Sus scrofa: one gene and its partners. The protein of the gene in region 3 interacts with the protein of the main gene of each other region in a pairwise test. Links are inferred from orthologs where the notes say so. Each region holds a gene or a part of one and is shown on either strand. Other genes may lie near its edges. The genes, in order: SLC35C2, TMEM51 and CREB3.

Region 1 (3,643 bases), on a different chromosome or scaffold from region 3:
GTCCCCCAGAGCCCACGTGCCCCACTCATCAGGCTGGGCTGGGTCGACCAGGAGGCAGGGAGTGGTTTCCTTGGTTTCCTCTGGCCAGACCCTCAGGCAGGCACCGCCCCTATGGGAGTGGCTGTTAGAGGTGCTGGCAGAGGAGGTGTGGGTTTTCTGGTTCATTTTCAACGTCTAAAGACCAAATCAGTCTCCTGAAAATCACGTGCCCTCTCTCTTGCATTGCGCCGTCACACCATACGGGGAACGACCAGGGCGCCAGGTGGCTGTAAGCTAACGTGGCCGCTGGGGCTCCTGTCTGCGTGGAGCCCACAGCCTCCCGGGGGACCCAGCCGGTGCTCAGATCATCAGGTCTTGCACAAGTGCCATGGAGGAAAAGTAGGGGAGCAGGCCGTATCTCAGGGGGACCCATCAAGGGGCCGTGCTCCCTGAGGAAAGGACGTTTGAGCCGAAGATAAGAGGAAAGAATGAAGGCTGGGCTCCCTCCAGCAGCAGGAAAGGGCGGGTGTGTTTGGGGAAAGGAAAGCCCTCCAGCGGGGCTGGACAGGACTTCTTAGCTGCCAGAAGGGTTTTTGGTCTTTATCTTAAGAGCCCTGGAAATACCGAAGGAAGGGCTGCAGGCTGATCCAACATGATCAGATTTACATTTTTAAAAGGTCACTTTGGTGGAAATTCATGGAGAACAGCTTGAGGTGACAGGAGAGTGGCCATGATGGGGAGCTGTGAGCCTCTGGGCCAGAGGCGGGGCGGGCTCCTTCCGGGGGTCCTGCCCGCTCTGCTCAGGAGCAGGGCTGGGGAGTGACAAGTCCGGGGGGGGTCCCCCCCTCCCCGTTGCCAGAGCCACCGAACCGGCCTTTCCATCTTTCCAGCCTCAGCCCTGGGGTCCGGCGAACCGTGTATGCAGTGGATCATGGAGCGGGTCGGCTCAGGCCACCAGCCCCTTAGGTGAGGACAGTGCCTGGGGCTCAGCAGACAGTCCTGGATCATGGAGGCCGAGAGCGCGCCAGCCGGGAGACTTTCCTGTTGAGAGTCGTGGGCCCAGCTTGGCCGGCCGTCTTCAGGAGAGGCGCCGCCCCCACGGACCAGAGCTGGGGAGCTGCCGCTTCCGCGGATGGGGAGGTGGGCCCTCGACGTGGCCTTCCTGTGGAGGGCGGTGTTGACGCTGGGGCTGGTCCTTCTCTACTACTGCTTCTCCATCGGCATCACCTTCTACAACAAGTGGCTGACCAAGGTACCGCGGGGACCTCGCAGGGCCCAGGCCCCGGGGCGGGGGCGCCGCCATGGCCACAACGCCCCCCGATATTGACCAGCAGGAAGGCACGGGCCTCACCTAAGCAGACTGGAAGCCGGTCACGCCAGTGAGGGGACGGCCCTTAAATATTTGGATGGAGGGGAGATCAGGAAAGGGGGAGCCACCGAAGAGGAGCTGGGGACCCTCGGGGGCCTGAGGCAGCACAGGCCTGGCCTGGTAATGAGCTGCTCGGGCCATGCAGGTACTGCCTGGGAGGGGCCAGAGCAGGCAGCTTGGGGGCCTGTTGAAGTGACAGAGGTGGCACCAAGCTAGGCCTGCTGCTGCCTGCGTGACCTCCAGCGGTGGGGCGAGTGTAATATGGGTCAAGGCCCCTCATACGCTGCCGAGCCCTCCTCACTCCTCCGGCCGGTGGAGGTGGGGAGCCCTCGGGAGCTGGCGGGCTGTAAAGGCGCCCTCGTGCTCCGGCTGCCCGCAGAGCTTCCACTTCCCCCTGTTCATGACGATGCTGCACCTGGCCGTGATCTTCCTGTTCTCCGCCCTGTCGCGGGCCCTGGTTCAATGCTCCAGCCACAGGGCCCGCGTGGTGCTCAGCTGGACCGACTACCTCAGAAGAGTAGCTCCCACAGGTATGTGCCCACAGGCGGCTGGCCCCAGGGTGGAGGGGGCCGGATCCTGAAAGGAAAGCCAGAGGCCCAGAAAGGAAGCTTGCGGGCTTGAAGCTTAGGCCCTCCCCCTTGCGCTCCCACCCCCACCTCCACCCCTGACTCCCTCCCATCCTCCCTCCCACTTCCTCCCTCCACCCCCAGCGCCCCAGAGGCTCTGCTGCGCCTCAGCTAGCAGTTCCCTCACCCTTGTGCATGCACGTGCCCTGAGCGGGCACCACAGCCTGGAGATGGCAGTGAGCAGAGCCTAGTCCCTGCCCTCGTGTGCAAGGGGATGCTGGGGAGATTGGGAGGGAAGTGGCACACCTGAGTTGCCGTGGGGGGAGGCGCTGGGAGAGTGTGGTGCCAGGGGCATGGTGGGGGGGTAGGTCTGAAAGTGCCCCAGATGCTGAGAGGAGGTGAGAAGAAAGGCGAACTGAGAGGGGTCCAGGGTCAGATCCTGGAGGACCGGGTCCTCCGAGAGCAGCAGCGAGCAGCGAGCATGTGTTTCATTCTGAGGCAGGTGGGAGCCATTCTGAAGAGTTTGCCAGTAAGGGCTCGGCAAGATCAGGTTAACGCCCCTCCCCTCTCCCGGGGGACATTCAAAACTGTCAACAAGTGGGGACCACACAGGTCCCAGCCATTCAGAGTAGACTGCCACCTGCCCTCGTGCTGGAGCAGCCCCCTCCCCTTTTGGGAAGTCTGGGGTTAACCCTCCAGTAACTGGGTGGAGGAGTCCCCTGGTGGCTCAACGGGTTAAGGATCCACCACTGTCCCTGCCTTGGCACAGGTTTGATCCCTGGCCCAGGGAACTTTCGCATGCTGCAGGCACGGCCAAGAGTTAACTGGGTAGAAAGGAGGGCTCATCAGCCCCAGAGAGAGCCAGGGCATCCAGGCCAGAACGGGACACTCAGGCACCTCAGAGAAGTGTGTGCGCCGCTGGCACATCTGTTCCGGCCTGGCCTGGCTGTGGTCCCACGGGTGCCCCATGTCTCCACAGCACTGGCGACAGCGCTCGACGTGGGCTTGTCCAACTGGAGCTTCCTCTATATCACCGTCTCGCTGTGAGTACCGGTGCCGCCCGCCTGCCACCTGCCTTGGGGCTCAGGCACACAGCTACCCGGCCAAGGGGCCAAGGGGCCAGGGGGCGGGTCTAGGATGGGCCCTTGCTCGCTCCGCCCCCCTGGCTCCCAGCAGCTCTCCTGGAAGTCACGGCCTCTGCAGAAAGCTGGCACAGAGGGGACGCTGTGCCTCCCTGCCAGGAGGCCCAGGCAAGCCCGGGGCTCAGCCAGCATTGTGACAGGGCAGGGGACAGAGGGGCACGGGGCGGGGGTGGGGGCAGGTGGCAGCTATTTCTTCCAGCTGATTCTGCGCTTCAGCGAGCACAGTCTCTGCCTTCTCTTTTCCCCGCTTCTCCTGCCCCCACCCGCCAGGGTAGGTGAATAATGGGGCTCTAAGCTCAATGTCAGACCTGCAGCTTTTGTTCCCTGGTAATAATCAGAGGCCTCTTAGTCAGAGATTTCTTGCGATGAAAGGTCACCTATCAACCCAGAAGACCTGGGCTGCCTTCCTTTGGTCTTTTGTATCCTGGTTACCCTGCTGCCCTCAGGAAAGTCAGGGGTCTCCCCCCCGGCCCTTTCCAGCCCACTGATTGTGCCGTGGGCGCCTCTCTTGGCAGTGGTTGGGCGCGCGGGCTCCAGCAGTGCATCGTGGGTAATTTTCCCTTCCAGGTACACAATGACCAAGTCCT
Region 2 (3,743 bases), on a different chromosome or scaffold from region 3:
CACCAGAAGGATCTTCCTAACACATCAGCAGGATCAAATAACTCTCCTGCTTAAAGAATTGGAAGAGAATTTGTGTCTTGCTTTGTCTTGCTTGTTCAGTGGTCTGAGCGCCTAGAACAGTGCCTGGCCCACATAAGACATACAGTCAACCTGGTTCCGAGATGTCTCTTCATCACAAGTCCCTGCTGATCCAGTCCAGTTCCTCCAGCCCCTCCACTCCCTTGACTTCCCCCACCCTCCCACAAAACCACCCTCTACTACCTGAGCACCTCCCCTGGCCCAGCACCCCTTCATACGGCCACACCTTTGCCTGTGCTATTCCCATCTGCCCAGACACCCTCCCTGAGCCATCCCCCCACGACACTCCACTTCGATGTTTAATATACCAGCACTCTTTTCTTAGCAGGACCTCCTGGTGCACCTTCCCGAGTTACTTCCTCTCTTCTGTTCTTCTCTAACCCTGTACCATTGCTTCCTACAGAGCCCTTGCTCCGTGCAAGGCATGAAGGAAGGTAGTTTCCTGGGACCTACTGAGAAGTTCTGCTCTAAGCACCGGTGGAGGGTGCCTCTTTAGCCAAGCATTCGGAACCCTAGGTTATCACGCCCCTTGTACAGATGAAGAGACTGAGGCTCAGAGAGGCAGAGTGACAGCCCCCTGTGGGTGACTACACCACCATCTCTCTAAGACACTTGCCATTTACTATCCATTAGGCTGGGAGCTCTCTGAGGCCCCTTGGCCCTATATCCCCGGGGCCGGCCTGGCGCTGTGTGATACTTGAGAGGCCCACTGTCGGCTCAGGACGTCGTGAGCATCAGATGCACCAGGAGCGCTCTTCCCTTTCTCTTTTCTGCCTTTTCTCCCGTTCTGGGCAGGACCTTTGGGCAGCTGGCGAGGGACAGATGTGGAGGGCAAGGGGCTCCCTCTCAATTCCATTTATGACGTCTCCAACGTGTGAAAGCCTTTCACAGGTCCCAGAGCCGACCTCTGACCTTTTGCTAGCGACATGACCCCCTCAAAATGAAAGCCAGAAGCCAGCCTTTGAAAGCAGTGCCTCTGCCGCCGCCGGCCTCGGCGGCCTCCGGCCCCGCCCACCCAGCTCCGGCCCCGCCTCGGTTCCCCGCCCCCGGACCCCCGAGCGGTAAGGGAACGACTGGTCCAGGGACCACGAAGGCCTCTCAGAGCGCTGCACAAGTGCCCGCGGCCGACACCCCCCTGGGAGGACTCGAGAGGGACAGGGAAAACCGTAGGGACGTCTGGGCTTCCTGCACCCAGTCCTCTGGCTGGGAAAGATTTCTTTCCGCAAGTGACCATCCCTCTTAATCAGACTTGGCGTTCCCGGGCCACAGGCCTCCCCTCAAGGCGCAGACGAGAGATGTGATTTGGAGCTGGGTAGTCCTCGCTGTGCGGTAGGCACGAAGGCCCCACCTCCCCCCGGGAGATCATCACTCCCATTTTACAGACGAAGAAACCTGAGTTACACCCCGCTTTGCTACGCCCGATTGCTCACTCTTTGCCTCTAGTACCTAAAACACACGTACACACACATGCACGCGCGCTCGCGAATCTAAACCTCTTACAAGTCTCCATTTCCAAAAAGGAGAGTTGGGGGCAAGGGCTTATGCAGGCAGCGCCAGGGTAGTTTCCTGGGACCTACTGAGAAGTTCTGCTCTAATCACCGGTGGAAGGTGCCTCTTTAGCCAAGCGTTCGGAACCTGCCAGGCAGATGGCACCTGTCCCCGCCAACAGGGGGCCCGGAGGCCGGCTGCCTGCCCCAAGCGGAGGCCAGCTGGCCCCACCGCGATGCCGGGGAGGCGGGTGGTCCCGTACTGGCCCGCCGCGGCTTCAGAGGGTGCGAGTTCGGAGTCCTTCCGGCGCAGACACTGGCCGGGAAGCTCTCAGAAGAACCGAGAGGCAGACCCAGACTGCCGTCGACCCCCTCGGGGGCCCCGTGGGGAACAATCCCTCCGCGGGGCGCGGCGGGGAGGAAGGCGCAGACTCACCGGGGCGGCGGCGTCCAGCTCGGTCTCGGTCTGGAGGCGGGGGGCTGGGGGCTCCACGACCCCGGCCCCCCCAGGCTGCTTCCTTCGGGCGCCGCGATCCCGGGGCTGGAGTCTCGGCCGAGGGAGCACGGTGGCGGAGAGCGCGCAGCCACCCCTCCCCGGACCAGGATGGGGACGCAGGAAGCACCGCCGCGGAGCGCCGGCGTGCGGGAGGGAGGGACCGCGAGAGGCGGAGGGCGGTGCCGGCCCCGAGCCACCTCCCGCCCCAGAGGCACCGCCCACCGGCCGACCCTCCCCCAACTGGCCCTCGGCACCACCCGCCAGGCCTACGGCGCGGGGCCCCAGCCGAGCAGAGCCGGCACCCCTCCGTCACGTCGGCTGCGGGAGTGCGGACCGGGGGCTCTGGACCTAAGTCCAACCTCATCTCGGCCGCACAAAGTTGGCTAAACTGGCAGGGCGGGGCGGGTGGGGAGGGCTTGACCCCTGCCGCCGGGGGCCGCGGAATTGGAAGTGTGGGGCTGGGGCGGGGAGTGGTGTCTCGGCCGGGAATCTGAGTATTTAAGGGTTAAGGAGAGTGGAGAGACCCCCTCTCCCTACCAGATCCCGCGGCACGGGTGCGGAGGTAAAGCTCCGCGGGGCCGCCGCGCCTTTACCTGATCTAGCACTCACCTGGCCACCAAGAGCCCTGGCCAACCCCTCCTCATCCTCCCGGGGAGGCCGCCGCCTCCCTTTCCACCTTCGGGCAGGATCTGGGCACTGGGGACCGCCTGCACCGCCAGGAGCTGGTGCCTTGTGAGTTGACTGAGGTGATTGATGGGCGGAGGTAGGAAAGGAGGAAGCAGTTTTTGAAAAGCGAGTCAGCTCAGGCCCTCCACCGGGCTTCTCACCCTCCGGGTGCCCTGGGCGCGCTCTGGGTCGTACACCCGGGCCTTGGTGGGGTGGAGCCCATTCCAGGTGCCCGCGCCTGCGCACGTGATGAGGGCAACCTGGCTCTGGAACCTCCCCAGAGGGGGGCCCGTTCCCAGTTTGGCGGAGAACTTGCCCCAGGAGGCACCAGCTCGCGTCCTGCCCACCAGGTGGCTGGCGGGTGGCCGCCTCTGCTTAGAAGGGCAGAGCGGCTGCCCAAGGCCTGCTTCTGGAGAGGGTGATCCACTGCTGGGGAGGGCGTCTCTTACCTGCGGCTCTGCTTCTGCCCCATGCCTGGAGGTTGCCCTGGAACTGCTGCTGGGACCCAGCCTGATTCTGAACACAGAGCGGGGTGGTAGCCCCCGTCCTCTCTCAACTTAAACTTGTTTTGAATTCCAGGAGAGGTCAGGCTGGGGTCCCCTTCTCCGATGAGTGTCCAGCCCTTTGAAGTTCAGGTCCTGGGAAAGGCTGATAGGCAGCTGGCGGGGTATCAGAGAATCTGAGGACAGAAGGCGCCTCCTACTGGGAAGCTGCCCTGTCCAGGATGGAAAATAGATACCCTAGTGGTAATTGCAGTAAATTCACTTCCAAACAGGGCCTCATGGGTCACATGGTCCCCACAGGCCTATACCTACAGAGTGGTCGCAGGTGGGTATTTTTTCCCATTGCTGCTTCTTAACATTCAGGGTAACAGTTCAAAAGACCCTAGTGTCTACAAAGAGGTCAATTTGGGGCTGTCACGTGATTTGGTGCTGGGCGGGGGGGGGGGGGGGGGGGGGGAGGAAGAGGCATTTGAAGAAAGGAAGCAATGAGTCTCCATAAGTATAGCAATAACT
Region 3 (3,743 bases):
ACTTAACCCCATATTCCAGCTTGAAAAACAGTCACCATGCTAGTAAATAATTTAAGCTTAAGAACAAAGACCAAAAGGCATAAGTATTCACGTGGTCAGCTGAATGAGGACATAATGCGTTGGTCTAGGCATGCAGTTTGCACAGCATGATACGTCCTGTTAAAATAAGAGGAAGAGGCGCCTCAAGGCCCCAGGGGGTTTATGAGCGGTCGTTAGCAGAATATGCATCAGCAAGGAGGTACAAACCTAGGCATGCCAGGTTGCAGCAGATAGGCATGCTGTCTGTGGAAGCACAATGATAATTCTCTAGGTGCTATGCACAGAGAGCTAATATCCAGCTTCTTCAATGCTAGTGATTGTTAATGCCTAAAGGTCAGAATAAAAGCTTAACCAGCTACCAGCTATGTGACTTTTAAAATAATAAAAGAACTATGTCCTGCACCTACAACCCCCTCCTCACTTGATGTAATCCTAAAGAGCACAATAAAAGCAGTGTGGTTTCTTGAGGCACTGCTCTTGGTCCCTGAGACCTTGAGTCCCCCAGTTCCCACCCGCAATTAAGATAAATGTCTCTGTGTCTTGTTTTATGCTAACTTTTTCTCAAGTTTTACAGCACCCGTTCCTCAGCCCTTACCTGCGAAGCTGGACTCAGCATCTCGCCTCAGTCCTTTCTCAAGTTACTGATATAAAATTAACAGAGTCAGCCTACTAGGGACTTAACCCCTGCATCCAGTCTTTGCTCCTCGAATGGGAGTCTTACCTTAGTGAGAGGAAGTGTCCCGGGCAGAGTAAGCCCCTCCTTCTCCAAAAGCCTCTTCTCCTCCTCCGTCAGTATCAGCTCACCAATCTCCTGGGGTTCCAAGAGGTGGGCAGCACAGGTGCAAGAGGGTGTCAGAGAGAAATTCGGACTCCTGCCCCAACCCGGTCAATGTGGGAATAATCGTCCTGTAAACCAAGTCAAGTTACCTGCTCTGCGGGCGCCTCCACACGCAGGGAAGTCATTTGGGCCCCTTCCTTCTCATAATCCTCATTATCTGCAAGAGGGAAAGTATAAACAGCCAGGTCCATAGTCCCCTCCCCTCCCCCAAACTTCACCTCTATCAGACTCACCTAGATCTATGGAGACATACTCCTGTGACAGGGAATAGGTGTGATCATGGTGGACAAGATAGGGGTCAGAGTGGCTAAAATCGGTCAACGATGCTGGGGGACTCGACAGGCAGCTCAGGAAATCCTCTACGTCCCAATCGCTCAATGCCTGCCCAGGGTTCAGATTAACAGACTTTGACTGATCACCACCCCCTGCCTCAGAGACACCCCTCCATCCCGCCCGGGGCCTCCCGGACTCAGAGCCCCCCCCCACCTCGGAAAGTGGTAGCTCCCAATCCAGGGGCGCCTCCAAGGCTTCGTCCCGCGCCGCCCCCAGACCTCCGCTTTCCTCTAACAGGAAGCCCAGCAAGTCATCGTCACCCGAGTCCAACCCCAGCTCCATATGAGACATCTACGGAAAGGATGAGCAGAAACACAGAAGTACACCCGGAGTCAACTCCCAACCCCACGCACGACTCCCACCGATCGTCAGTGGGCCACACCTATGGGCTCCGCAAGCGGGGTTTTCCTCCTGGATGCCGGAGGTGGCTCACAAACCCGACCCGCCTCCCAGCCTGAGTCTTAGCCACTTCCAACACCACACAAGTGACGCACCGAGCCCTGAGGCATCCCGGGACTTGGAGTTCCCCGGACGCGGAAGTGGCCTTGGTGCACGCCACGTCCCGGGCACTATGCAAATAGAGGGGACGTCCTTGCCAGCCCCTCACTCCCCGAGGGCGGGCATTCCGGCGAGCCGCCTCCGCCTCCGCCTCCGCCTTCGCCCCGGGCTAGGAAAAGGAAGGACTACCGCGCAACCGGGACCTCGGGCCCAGCTCGGGCGTCTTCTTGGGATTGCGCCGCACCCTCGCTTCCTGCCGGGGAGGGGCTGCGGGTCTTCGGCCGGCTCCTGAGCATCGAGATCTGGGGCCAGAGCAGCTTCCTGCGGTCCCCGCAACCATAGAGCGCGGGCCCAGGGCGCCGCCCGCGGGCGGGGGACGTTCCCGGACGGAAGTGGCCGAGAGTGTCGAAGGGAGGGCGAGGCCGGAGCCCGAGAGCCACCGGGAGAACGAGCGGGTTAGCGGGCCGGCGGGCGGGGCGCAGAGCCGGGCAGCGCAGGTAGGCCGGTCTGCCGCGAGCGGGGCCTCAGGGTGGGGCCGCAAGGCCGGGCCCGGGAGGCGGGCGGGGCCCCTGACTTGACTGCGTCTCCTGTTTCGGGTCCTGTTGGAGAGGTCAGCGTCCAGTGTCTCTCGGCTTGGGCTGGGAGTTCAAGAGGCCTTTTTGCGGGAGGCTTTTCTGCTCCCTTGCTGGGAGCAGCCCCCTGTCTGGGATAGGTTTGGGGGAGGGTGAAGAGTGGGTGGCAGTGCGACGCAGGGCGGGGATCGGCTTTGAGGTTGGCTGATGGCGGGTATGTGGGTAGGAGCGCCCTGGGTGGGTTGGGGATTAGGTGGTATTGGGTTTAGGAGCCAAGGTTAGCTTTAGGGGTTTAAATTTCGAGTTATGAGCGTGAGTCAGGTCCGTTTTGGGTAGGTAAAGTTTGGATTAAGGACATTATTTTGTGTTCTAGGATGGTCAGCCTAAGCCAGAGTTAGAGTCCAGGGTCGGGTTAAGGGTCAGCAGCAGGAACGGCGCTCGAGATCCAGTTTTAGGCATTAGAGACCGTTGGCATAGCCAGTGTTAGGGGTAAAACGGGGAAGGAGTGACTCAGGAATCAAGTGACACATGATCTTTAGGTTCAGGGGTCAAGCTCTAGGGGTAAGGTTGGGATTTGGTGCTAAAGGTAAAATTTAGATCAAAATTAGGGATCAGGGATTGGATTCAAGTGTCTGCTGGGAAAGAGCTGAATGTTAAAGCCAGTATTGGGCATCAGGAGACAAATTGGGATCGGGGTTAATGTTGGGAACTAAGGACAGTTTTAGGGGTTATAGGCTGAGGTCAGGGTAGGTGACCTCAGGCAGGTAAAATTTAAGAGATTGGCAGGTGCTCTTTTTTTTTTTTTTTTTTTTTTTTGCAGGGAGGGCTCTTGTTTCTCTGTCGCCGTGGGGGCTTCTTTGGCGCAGAGAAATGATAAACTGATTACAGGGTAGGGTTCTGAGCTTCAGCTAGAATTGCAGGCATCTGGGATTCCAGCTGCATTGTACTCTCTAAGCCCAAGGCTCTTGCTGTGGCCACCACAGGTGAGGGGCAGGGGTTCCTGGACCATGTTATTTACAAGGTAGGAGGTGGGAAGGTGTTAGGGACCCAGGAGATGTGCTAGGCTTCATAGTAAATGGGGGACTATCTAGGGGAGAGGGGCCTGGTGGGTCAGTTAAGGGAAAGGCCGGCCAAGGAAGCTTGCCATGGGAGAAGGGGATGGCTTAATCCTCTAGAGTTCAGTCCTACTGCCTCCCCGTTCCCTCACTCCCTAGATGCTAAGCCTTCCTCTGCAACTCTCCTCCCTGGCCCTGCAGTTCACGCCCAACCCGTCATGCATACCCACTTTCAGAATACTCCGCTTGCCTTTAACACTCCCGTGGTGTTCATCTTATCATCTGTCTCAGCCTGCCTTCGGCCTCCCTTCCCATCTCTTAATCCACACATCCTGCCTGCATTTGATCTCGCCCACATCTGAGCTTGCCGGTCATGTTAAAGCTCTCTCCTGCCATTTTCACCCGCTC

Evidence for each region.
Region 1: the proteins of CREB3 (region 3) and SLC35C2 interact in a two-hybrid assay, tested with the Homo sapiens proteins (2 studies listed by BioGRID and IntAct). The link is inferred for Sus scrofa from reciprocal best matches to the Homo sapiens genes CREB3 and SLC35H1.
Region 2: the proteins of CREB3 (region 3) and TMEM51 interact in a two-hybrid assay, tested with the Homo sapiens proteins (2 studies listed by BioGRID and IntAct). The two-hybrid records come from large-scale screens. The link is inferred for Sus scrofa from reciprocal best matches to the Homo sapiens genes CREB3 and TMEM51.

The regions. Positions count from the first base shown.
Region 1 is NC_010459.5:48,518,574-48,522,216, reverse strand, and holds part of SLC35C2 (solute carrier family 35, member C2), read left to right. Parts: exon of another isoform or gene 1-351; intron 352-869; 5' UTR 870-1,111; coding exon 1,112-1,231; intron 1,232-1,727; coding exon 1,728-1,878; intron 1,879-2,893; coding exon 2,894-2,957; intron 2,958-3,623; coding exon 3,624-3,643.
Region 2 is NC_010448.4:74,433,229-74,436,971, reverse strand, and holds the start of TMEM51 (transmembrane protein 51), read right to left. Parts: upstream 2,223-3,743; 5' UTR 2,002-2,222; intron 1-2,001.
Region 3 is NC_010443.5:236,449,017-236,452,759, reverse strand, and holds the start of CREB3 (cyclic AMP-responsive element-binding protein 3), read right to left. Parts: upstream 2,188-3,743; 5' UTR 1,720-2,187; coding exon 1,705-1,719; exon of another isoform or gene 1,593-1,704; intron 1,502-1,592; coding exon 1,364-1,501; intron 1,259-1,363; coding exon 1,111-1,258; intron 1,035-1,110; coding exon 967-1,034; intron 851-966; coding exon 761-850; intron 1-760. UniProt on the Homo sapiens protein: Endoplasmic reticulum (ER)-bound sequence-specific transcription factor that directly binds DNA and activates transcription. Plays a role in the unfolded protein response (UPR), promoting cell survival versus ER stress-induced apoptotic cell death.